Mus musculus: one gene and its partner. The protein of the gene in region 1 purifies or fractionates together with the protein of each later gene. This does not show direct contact. Links are inferred from orthologs where the notes say so. Each region holds a gene or a part of one and is shown on either strand. Other genes may lie near its edges.

Region 1 (5,000 bases):
CATGAGACTGCCAATAGTTGGTATAAAGCACACACGTATACTGTTTGCTAATCACTAACTGGTTTTTACATTCTTGGCTATATCAAAAGTGTAGGTGATCACTGTGGCCCATGTCTATGCTCCCAGCACTTGTGAGGCTGAGGCAGGAAGACAGCCATGCCAGCCTGGGTTACTGAGTGAGACCCTGGCTGAGAGAACCCAAAATATAGAGACATAAATAAAAGTTAAAGCATTTCTGCCATTTACCTATTTGTCCCCATCGAGCCTGAATCTTTTGCTTACATTCAGTGAAATTTAGCCTGTGTAGTGGGTTAAATTACTACAGACACTCCTTTCAAAAGTTTATTTTAGTATGGAAAGCATCTCTTGAAATGCTTTGAGAGAAGTGAGTTGGTACATATCAGATGCATTATTTCCTGTATTTTATTTTAAAGTGTAACTGTATATTGCTACTCACATGTGTTGTCTTCGATTTTCTTTTTAATTAAATTTCACAGTGCGGCCAAATATCGGTTTAGGAAATGTTTCCTGCATTGATATTTCCTATCTTAAGCATATTTCCTGGCAGCCTGTTCTGTGAAAACATGTTTTTTGTTTGTGGGTGTAGGTGACCAAAGTCAGTCCATGGATCAAATCCCTCAGTTGTGCAACTGTGTACTACTACAAACTCTCGTCCTTTCGAGAAAAAGTAAAAGTTAGAGTCAAAGTAAAAGAACCTGCGTTTTAGTTCTGACTCCACATGAACATGTTGGGGGGGTGAACTTTGGACAAATCATTTCTATTTATGAAAGGACAGATTGCATCAGCACGCTCTCTGTCTGCTAAGAGTCACAAATTCTATTCTACGAAAGAATGTCACCCATTCAACTCTGAAACCGTGAGAATTTAAAGATAGGAAGCAATATTGTCTTCCTCTTGGCAAAAAAAGGTGCAATGAGAAAGATGCATTACGAATTAAGAGCTTTCCCTCACTGGGATTAGAAAGATTGCGAAGAGTAAACCCTTTCACTCTGGAAACTATTGGCTTCTCCTAGCCAAAGTGCCAAAGCCTTGGGAGACCCTCACCAAGGCATTCGTAAAGCGAAGGTGAAGGCTCTACTACAGTTCCCAGCATACCTCTGTCCCACCCTGCTCCGGGCACTCCTGCAGGCGGGTCTTGTAGTCCCAGCCCGCGGCCGGCAGTAGCGCTGAAGCACTTTTGGAATCAGCTTTCCCTCCCCGCCAAACCCGGAGGCCGCAAGCCCCATCTGAAGTTTACTGTCTGACCCACTGGGCTTGGCCGGGCTTCCAGACGTAGGACGTCCACCAGAAGCCAGCCTCACCGCAGCGAGCGGCGAGCGCCCTAGGAGAGGGCCACGCCCCGGAAGCGGCTTCCAGCCACTCAGAGCGGGCGGGGGCGGGCCCGGGCGGGCGTGCGGGGGCGGCTGGGTCTTCGCTCTGGGGCGGGGCCGCCGTACGAGCCCGCGCGTCTGGGTGGCGGCGGGGGCGCGCCCGTGGGGAGAGGCGGCTGCGGCTGCTGGTGGGGGGTGGGGGGGGAGGCAGAACCGGGAAGGGGGCAGGGCGAACTGAGAGCCGTGTTCCTGAGGCGGCGGCGTCTCGGACTGAGGAGGGCGGGGAAGGAGGATGGGGCAGGCTGGGGGTTGGGGCCGGCGCTAGCCCGCGGCTCGCCTCGTAGTAGGGGAAAGCGACGCTGCTCTTTAAGTTGCGCGGGGAGCCCGGCCGGTGCCGCCGCAGCCGCAGCCGCCTGGCGCGGCGGGGAGGGAGGGCGGGCCGGAGCGAGCTGGGGAAGACGGAGCGGGCGCTGCGGCGCGCGGGCGGGCGGCGGGGGGGACGCGGGAGGATGGAGCAAGTGGAGATCCTGAGGAGGTTCATCCAGAGGGTCCAGGCCATGAAGAGTCCGGATCACAATGGGGAGGACAACTTCGCCCGGGACTTCATGGTGAGTGTCCGTTCTCGCCGGCGCCTCGTGTCGCCAGCCGCCGAGCTCCCCTCGCCTCTCCCGGTCGGTCGGGGCTGCCAGCGCTTTGTGTGCGGTGCGAGGACAGGCGCGGGGCGCGCGCCCAGCCGCGAGCGCCGTCGGCGAGCTTGCGGGAGGCGAGGTCACCCCCGCCCCTCAGCCTCTCTTTTCCGCGGCCGCTACCTGCGCTCCCCGGCCCAGCCCGCTCCGGCCCCGCCGCCCGCGACTACCTATTGTCTCCCCGGCCGGGCGGCGGCGGCTGGAGTGCGGGCTCGCCTTCCCACGCCTGCCTTCCCCGCCTGCCCCTCCGGGGAGGGTCGAGGCGAGCTGTCTGGCTGCGGCCAGCGGAGCGGCTCGAGGCTGCCGGAGAGCGAGGGTGTAGAGCATTAACTCGCTGGGTCCCTGTACGGATGCCGGCCTTGGTCCGAGTGGACGGCAGGACGACTCCGTGTCTGGGTTCACAGTTATTAGCTCAGCGCTTGCCAGAGGCTTGACCATAAGGAATCTCATGGTTTACCTGATCTCCATTTATCTGGTCAGGTTTCTTTTCGTCCTGAGACCCAGGTTTGAGGTGGCTGTGAGGCCAGTGTGACTTTAGATCGAAAAGGGAGGGGGATATCAGTGTGGATGGGGGTTATCCTGAAGGAAGCTCACTCCGGACTTGAGGGGATATTGCCGAAGCCGGAGGGGATGTGACTATCACTTCCTATCCGGGGTGGGGGTGGGGAAGCTGGGAACAATAGTCATGGTAGGGTGGAGGCGACTATATGGGCTGAAGCCCTGGGAGATAACCTTCCCGTCCCCCCTTTTCCGCCACCCCCCTTTCCGCCCTCTGCTTGTGTAGGCAGGCTTGAGTGAGTGGAGGTGGGGGTTAAAAGTCTAGTATGTGAAATTTCTCTAGGTGCATAATTGGAGAGAGGGTATCAATTCCGAAGGCGTGGGACCAGAAGCTGACTTCCTACATTACCCCCTCCTCGCTCCTTTTATTTTTCTGTTGGACAATGTTCCCTCTAGGGTTGTTTCCCGGCTTTGGAGGCGGTGGTTGCGGCTGCTGCTCCTACGGATGTTGCGCAAGACTGGGGCGTTGTAAACCCTGGAGGTCTGGGGAATGGAAAAGGAAATGGGACTTTGGGAAGTCCTTCGCTCTTTAGCGGGGGTTGGGAATAGCAAATGAACTAGGGAAAATTTTGCTCTGGACAAGGTGCACTTCTAAGAATAATCAGTTCATCTGAAATTTGGTTATGAAAAGCCATATGCAGTTGAGGTCTATAAAAATGAGTGGCTACGAAACATTTGCTAGTTTTTATTTAAAGTGCAAATGAAGTGATTTTTAGTACTGAAGTGGGTGTTCACATTTTAAAGAGATTTCTGTCTAGTAAAACTTTAGTGTTAAAATTGTTAATGGCTTGAAAAGTAGACTGTTAGCCTTGCACAGTATTAGTAGTATTGTGGGGTTTTGTGACTTCCACCTTGCAGTTTTATAAAAATAGAAAGTAGGAACAAGATACAGTGAGGACTGAAAATGTAGATCAAAGTCCAGTTATTCCTTATTTTAAACATTTTCTGATATTTAGATGATGTTTTGGAAAAAGTACTTTTCTTCTTACCATCGAATTTTGATGGTTAGTATCTGTTGAATGATATCATTTGCAAACATTGGAAAGAGCCCTCCTTTTACTACTCTATAGTAAATGTAGAAGAAAACAGTTCATTGAGGGTGTGTAGAACTAGTGGCTTGTCATAGAAGGGGCCTTGTGGCCCTGGCTGTTGGTCGAATGCTTGCTATCTTGCTGTCCTGGACATACTCTGTCAAGGATCATTGTTAGTGCAGGCCATCCGGACAGGTGCCCAGTCCCTGCACTTTTGGACAGGGGATCTAGTCTTGGGGTTCATGCTTTGGGGATGACTCAGGGATTCCTATTGGAGATGTCATGTCCAAGGACCAAATGTGTTCCCATTCTTCCATAATACCAAAGTATAGCTAGGTAGTTCTACATGAGAGATTTGATGACTAAGGCTATTATTCTTTTATAGGGCTTGCTTTTTTAATTTCCTAACTTGATAAGCAGTAGCTATAATTATGATTGTTGGCAGTTGCCTCTGTTTTTTTCCCTTGACTAGAAGGCTGGAAAGAACTGTCCTCTGTCATGGAAAGAGAATCAAAGATGATCACATAAATTCTAACTTTTGTTATTAAATTCTGAAGTGGATTTTAAAATCCATTTTAAAAAAGAGATGGTGACATTTTTGGAAAGTATGTCGACTGAAATCACTGTTGAAATGGTGTCACATGAAGCTGCCAGTCCACTGATGCCTGAACTATTTCATCATGTAAATAATTTCCATGCCTCCCTTTTATAATAAACGAATGATGCCTAAACTGACAGCCATTGTCTCTGACCTTTAGTTTCACTGAACTGTTACAAATATTTCCAAATAAAATGTTGTAAATGAAAAAAAAGAAAGAAATTAAAATCTTATGAAAATTCAGAATCAATAAAGATGATTAAGTGGATCTCCAAAAAGAAACACAGTCAACATCAAAATAAAATTAAAAGTCAAAAAAAAAAATCCATTTTAAAACCTTAACATTGTAGAACTGAGTCTTAAAAGGTAATATCACTATTATAACTATTTCATTATAAAGTAATAGTTTCAAAATTGCAAATTATAGAATATAATTATTAACAGTAATGATATAATTATAATGGTAATACTTTATATTTGGGTGATTGGATTGGGCATCCATACTGTGGCCCTATTTTAAGGATGGAGCTACTCCCATTCTCCCTATATCTATGTTTATAATAGGTCTATGTCACAATAAGTACATATATTTGCCTTTGTAAGTAGTTAGAAGTTTCTGTTTGTTTTGTTTCTGAGGGGCAGGGAGCTGAACTCACTCAGGACCCAGGCTGTCCTTGAACTGGTGTCAGCCCTGTCTCCGCCTCCCTAGTACTGGCTGGGATGAAAGGTATGAGCTGCCATACCTGTGCTATGTTCTTGTCTTTTGGGTTTTTTTAAGCTTAGATTTTGGTGTCTT
Region 2 (5,144 bases), on another chromosome or scaffold:
CCATCTGTAATGGGATCTGATGCCCTCATCTGGTGTGTCTGAAGATAGCTACAGTGTACTCATATACATAAAATACACAAATAATTTAAAAATGCATTAAGATATTTGTCACAGACTTCCTCATGACTGTGGTGGCACATGCCCATAGTTCCAGCAACTTTGGAGACTGAGGCAGGAGAGTGGCTAATTCAAGATCTGTCTGGGCTACAGAGTGAGTTCAAGGCTGTCATGGGTAACTTAGTAAGGTCCTGTCTTAAATATAAGCAAGCAAGCAAGCAACAAAAACTTTCCACAAACAACACTGGGACAGGGGACCTGGATTAAATGTCCAGTTGAAGAGAGGAGAAGAGAGGAGAGGAGAGGAGAGGAGAGGAGAGGAGAGGAGAGGAGAGGAGAGGGGAGGGGAGGGGAGGGGAGGGGAGGGGAGATGAGGGAATGGGAAGGGAGAGAGAGAAAATGAAAAGACTGTGTCTTCAGGGCTCTGGCTTCCTGTAGCCCTCAGTGTCACTCGTACTCGTAGTCCACCCACATCTGCAGATGTAGCCAGGCTTCTCTGCCTTGAGTCTAACCTCACTGGTTTTTTTTTTTTTTTTTTTTAATTATATATATTTTACGTGTATGGGTGCTTTGCAGGCTTGTATGTCTGTGCACCACCTGCATGGCCTTGTTAGGAAAAACATACTAAGTGGGTGTCAGATTCCTTGGCTCTGGAGTTAGGGATTGCTGTTAGCTGCCATGCTGGGAATTGAACCCAAGTCCTCTGGAAAATCAGCCAGTGGCCCTAACCTCAGTGAAGAACCGGGTTGGTGAATGCATGTCCTTGGAGAGTAACAGGGCTGGGTGCTCTCGCGAATCCCTGTCGTTACAGATGATATAGGGCTCGGGAGTAGAGTTACTGAGCAGAAATCTTGTGAGCTCTTCTACTCATTCCACGATTGTCACGTGCTGTGCCGGGATCTAACTAGAATCTGCTGCACAGGTGAATGCTTGCTTTGGCATAACGGAGAACTAGCTCGATGCCAGTCTTGGCAACTTAACTTTCATTTTCTTCCCTATGAACACTTCTTACCCAGAAAGACACTGGCCCTGTTAGGAAGGACAGACTTCTAGCTTTGGTCTCTCCATCCCCTACATAACTGTGAATCTGAGCAATCTTTCAGCTATCTTGAGTTTCCGGCTGGACACTGGGCACATAGAACAAGTACTTTGTCTATTTCCAAACAAGAAGGAGTTTGATGCGCCCTGGAGTCCTATTTGGTTTGTCTGCTTATTAGGAAAGACCTCACACTGTAGCCCAGGCTGGGCTTAAACTCAGTCTTCTGTCTCAGCTTCCTCAGTACTGGGATTACAGGTGTGAGTCTCCGGTTTTCTCTCTGAAAAGAGTTGAAGCTCACAAGAGAGGGAGCAGAAAGCAGCCTGGCTTCTACTGCTAGGTGAGACAGGTGGTGAAGAAACCTTAACTGAGTTCAGATTAAGATATGCAAAGTTAAAAGGAAACATGGATAACGCATTTGAATTGGCATTTTAGACTAAAGCCTGCAATCCCCTCCGGGGCGGTGTGTGCACTCCATTCCTTGTAGCGATAGCAGCATAGGCGAAGGCATCTCCTAGGGTTTCTACTGATTCACAGTCTGAATTTCTAGGTCGGGAGGGCTTGATGGGAAGAGTCCAGTGGGCAGCCGAAGGGAGAAGGACCGGTTCTCTCAGTCGTTCAGACGTCCGGCAGGCTGTGGTTTGGACTGGCCACCGCCCTCCGCAGAGCTGCTGGACCGGCCGCGCCCTAGGGTCAGGGCGGGTGGCCCTCTGCAGGTGCGCGAAGCGGGCAAGCGGGCGGGCAGGCAGGCGGGGCGCGGGGCGGCGCAATCGGGCGTGGTTTAGGACCCGGGGCGGCTTCCCGGGGTGACAGTGGAACTCCAAAGTTGCGCTGGACCTTGGCCCTGACAGTCTGAGCTCTCGGCGCGATCCGGCCGTCCTCCCGCTGTCCTCCCGCTGTCCGCCGTCCTCAGCCGCCTTCCGTCCTCCGCTCCCAGCCCTGCGCTCACAACCCAGCGCCGGCATGACGGGCTCGCTGTTCAAGGGGAACTTCTGGGTAAGTCAGCGCGGCGCGGGGCGTCCCGGAGCGCACGCCGGAGCGAGCCCTGGGGCTGCCCCTCTCTGTCCCGAGAGTCCGCTCCCCGGAGCGCGCGCTCCCCGAAACACCTGGGCCCTGACGTCACCCGGCGTTCTCACGCTTGAAAACCGAAGCCCAAAAGGAGGCGCATTCCAGCCCGCGGGTGCCCCGAAGCCCTGGGAGAAACGGGATGGGGCGTGTGAGCAGTCGCTCTGGGGTTCTCGGCCCGAGCTTCACCCTGCCTGGCAGCCCCGCTTTCTGATTTCCCTCGCAGCCCACAGAGAACCCCAGGGAGGCCAGCGCGCGCGTGAGACCCGAGAACTGGTGCTGTCATAGCGGTGCGGGTCCTAGGTGGCAGGTCTTCTCTCACCTTTTACTTAGACATCCTTTTCGCACGCATTCCCATTACCCTACGACTACCCACCCTCCAAGGGACCATTTCCGCCTGAATTCGGAGGTAACACCTTCCTTTAAGACAGGGCAAGGAGCTGTCCACCTGAGAGTTGACCCACAGCGATAGAGGGGCTCAGCCTTTTTCTAGGACTCTGCTTGTTTCCCGGTTTAGCTTCAGAGCTGCCCACCACACCAATCTCCTGCCGTGAACCCAGTGGCAGTTAGAGCCTATCACCTCCCATTCGCTTGAGGTTTTGAGATCCTTCTGAGTCACTGACCATAAGGCGAAGGGCCGGGGTAGCATTACAGCAGGGTTAGTAACCTTACACTTGGTCCTCCTCGGAGACCTGGGAAATCTTGACACTTTTTACACTGTGGGGAAAAAAAAGGACAGACCTTTATGCAGTTCATAGTAGAGTGATTATTTTTTTGGGCTAACGATGGAGGTACAGAGACTTCAGATGATAGATAGTATGTGCGCACCATCCGGGGCGTGCCCGTTCTGGAACAGGCTCAATCAAAAGTGTCAAGGAAAAGACTGATGTGCCCTTCGGCTCTGGACATCTTAGCCTGAGTTTAGTTAAGAGCCCAGGACCCGTCTCCATCAGTCTCAGCACTCAGCAATAGGGGCTAGGCTTTCTTTCCTTCCCTCCAACTCTCCTTAAAAACCCCAGAGCCAGAAGTGTTGGTTACTCACACCTGAAATCCCAGCGTTGGCGAAGCTGAGCCATTGGCAGCCCCAGCTGTCCCACCTACTCTCTGGCAGGAGTGGTCAAGAGGAGGGGCAGAGTGGAGTTGAGTTGAGAGTCCTGTGGTAAAGGTCTTAGGAGCACCGGACCGCGGCCGCTGCTGCTGGTGTTGAGTTTTTGCTCTACTTTTCAAAAGTTACCTGAGATCCCGGAAACTGCAAGCGCCCTGTCCAGCTCCACAGTTCCAGCAGTTGTTCGATTCAAATAACGAGAAGGACCGCATTGTTTATTGTGCAGATTATTAGGTTCTTTAACTGCCTTCCCCACATTACTCCACCATGCCTCCCAGTCGCCCTCGGAGGGAACTGACTCACCATGATATTTTACCGATGGGGAAACTGGCAGGGAGTGAAGCAACATTCTCAAAGCCCTGGAGCTGACGAATCGTGGCCCAGAGCTCTGCATGAACTCAAGGCTCACCCAAGTGTCTCCAAGAGGGTGGCATGGAGCGAGCACACCCCAGTGAACGTCCCAATTGCTCTTTCCCAGTGCCTGCAGTGGGCGTGGGGCGTGTTGGGCCATCCTGTGGCTGTTTGCTGGAGTCTCCTTCCTGCTTCAGCTGGACCAGGAGGTCCTGAAGGGCAGACACGATTTTCCCACCAGCTGGGTCCTTAGCACCAGCTATGGCACGCGGATTGTGGATCCCTAGGTCCAGGTGGATAAGACAGGGGCAGGAGTGAAGATGCAGGACCTGGGAGAAAAGGGGCAGAGGGAGCTAGCTGTTGGAGAAGAACGGCTGCTCACCTTTAAGTAGCCATGCTCTCAGGGAGTAGGAGTCTTTTCACTGAGTTGATGCTGGTGACAGTGACAGGGAGGGATGAGAACATTGTGACTGGATGAAGAAAAAAAAATGTTGAAAGCATCAGCAGGCACTGGTTTCCCAGGTTTAATAAACTCGTAGGAAATACTTTCTGTATGGGAAGTGCTCTGGTAGGCCTGGCTTTTGCTGGGGTTAACCCTGTTGCAATCTTCCCTAGAATCCGAACATCTCCTGAGGAAGGGGAATCGAAAGGGGAGATTTTGACCTTAGGTGCTTGACCTTAAGAATACAGAAGAGGGCTGGCTGAGGCAGCAGAGTCTGAGGCAGGAGGATTAAGCGTTCAAGCCAGGTTGGGATATATAGCTGGACTCTGTCTCAAAACCTAAAACAAAGACTGTACTGGGTTTCGGGTGGGGTCTGGGGATGGGGAAGAGTTAGCAGGTGTTATGGAAACTGGACCAGGGAAGCCTATTCTGGGGTGGAGACCATGGAGTGGGAAAAGATGCAGATAGAGAAACTACAGAGATAAGAGCCAGTCCCAGGCCAGGGAAGTCAACGGAGGGTCACCAGCAGAAGGAAGGAGAGGGGCCTCAAGCTGGCTTCAGAAGGGGAACTGGAGATGAGTGGGCGTGTCCTGAAATAGGAAGTCAGCAGGAGGAAATGCCAAGTGGAGGCAGGAGGAGGGAGAAGTGACTGTCAACACTGTTTAGTCAGGTGCTGCACCTGCAGAGGCAGGTTAAGTACAAAGCTCCCCTCTGCCCCAGGCCTCACCCCAAGCTCCAGGCTAGGCTGATGGGTATGAGGACTTCCTGCCAGAGGAGGGTCCCCCCCCCCCCCCGCAACCCCCAGGGGAAAGCAAAGGGTGTCAGCTAGTAGAGTTTGGAAGCATTCTGATATCTTCACCATTGCAAACATATCGCCGAGTACTTTAATGTCAGCTGGGCAACAGCTTCCGGCTGGTGGGGATGGCTCTGTTCCATTGGAAAGGGTGTCCTGGGGAGACTGAATGGAACAGCATGAAGCACAAGAGTGTCTGTCCTCTGCCGTCAGTGGGGCCTCTGAGGCGAATGTGCCTTCACTGGTTTGGTGGCTTTGTCCAGGGTGCTTAAGGCCCTCAAACTTCTGTTTTTCT

The links.
Region 2: the proteins of Ptpn12 (region 1) and Pstpip2 purify together in Homo sapiens (affinity purification with mass spectrometry; 4 studies listed by BioGRID and IntAct, counting the BioPlex papers as one, with this or other methods). This does not show direct contact. The link is inferred for Mus musculus from reciprocal best matches to the Homo sapiens genes PTPN12 and PSTPIP2.

Annotation. Positions count from the first base shown.
Region 1 is NC_000071.6:21,052,588-21,057,587, reverse strand, and holds the start of Ptpn12 (tyrosine-protein phosphatase non-receptor type 12), read left to right. Parts: upstream 1-1,676; 5' UTR 1,677-1,840; coding exon 1,841-1,939; intron 1,940-5,000. UniProt on the Homo sapiens protein: Dephosphorylates a range of proteins, and thereby regulates cellular signaling cascades. Dephosphorylates cellular tyrosine kinases, such as ERBB2 and PTK2B/PYK2, and thereby regulates signaling via ERBB2 and PTK2B/PYK2.
Region 2 is NC_000084.6:77,792,662-77,797,805, forward strand, and holds the start of Pstpip2 (proline-serine-threonine phosphatase-interacting protein 2), read left to right. Parts: upstream 1-1,888; 5' UTR 1,889-2,056; coding exon 2,057-2,089; exon of another isoform or gene 2,090-2,286; intron 2,287-2,738; exon of another isoform or gene 2,739-2,875; intron 2,876-3,200; exon of another isoform or gene 3,201-3,729; intron 3,730-5,144. UniProt on the Homo sapiens protein: Binds to F-actin. May be involved in regulation of the actin cytoskeleton.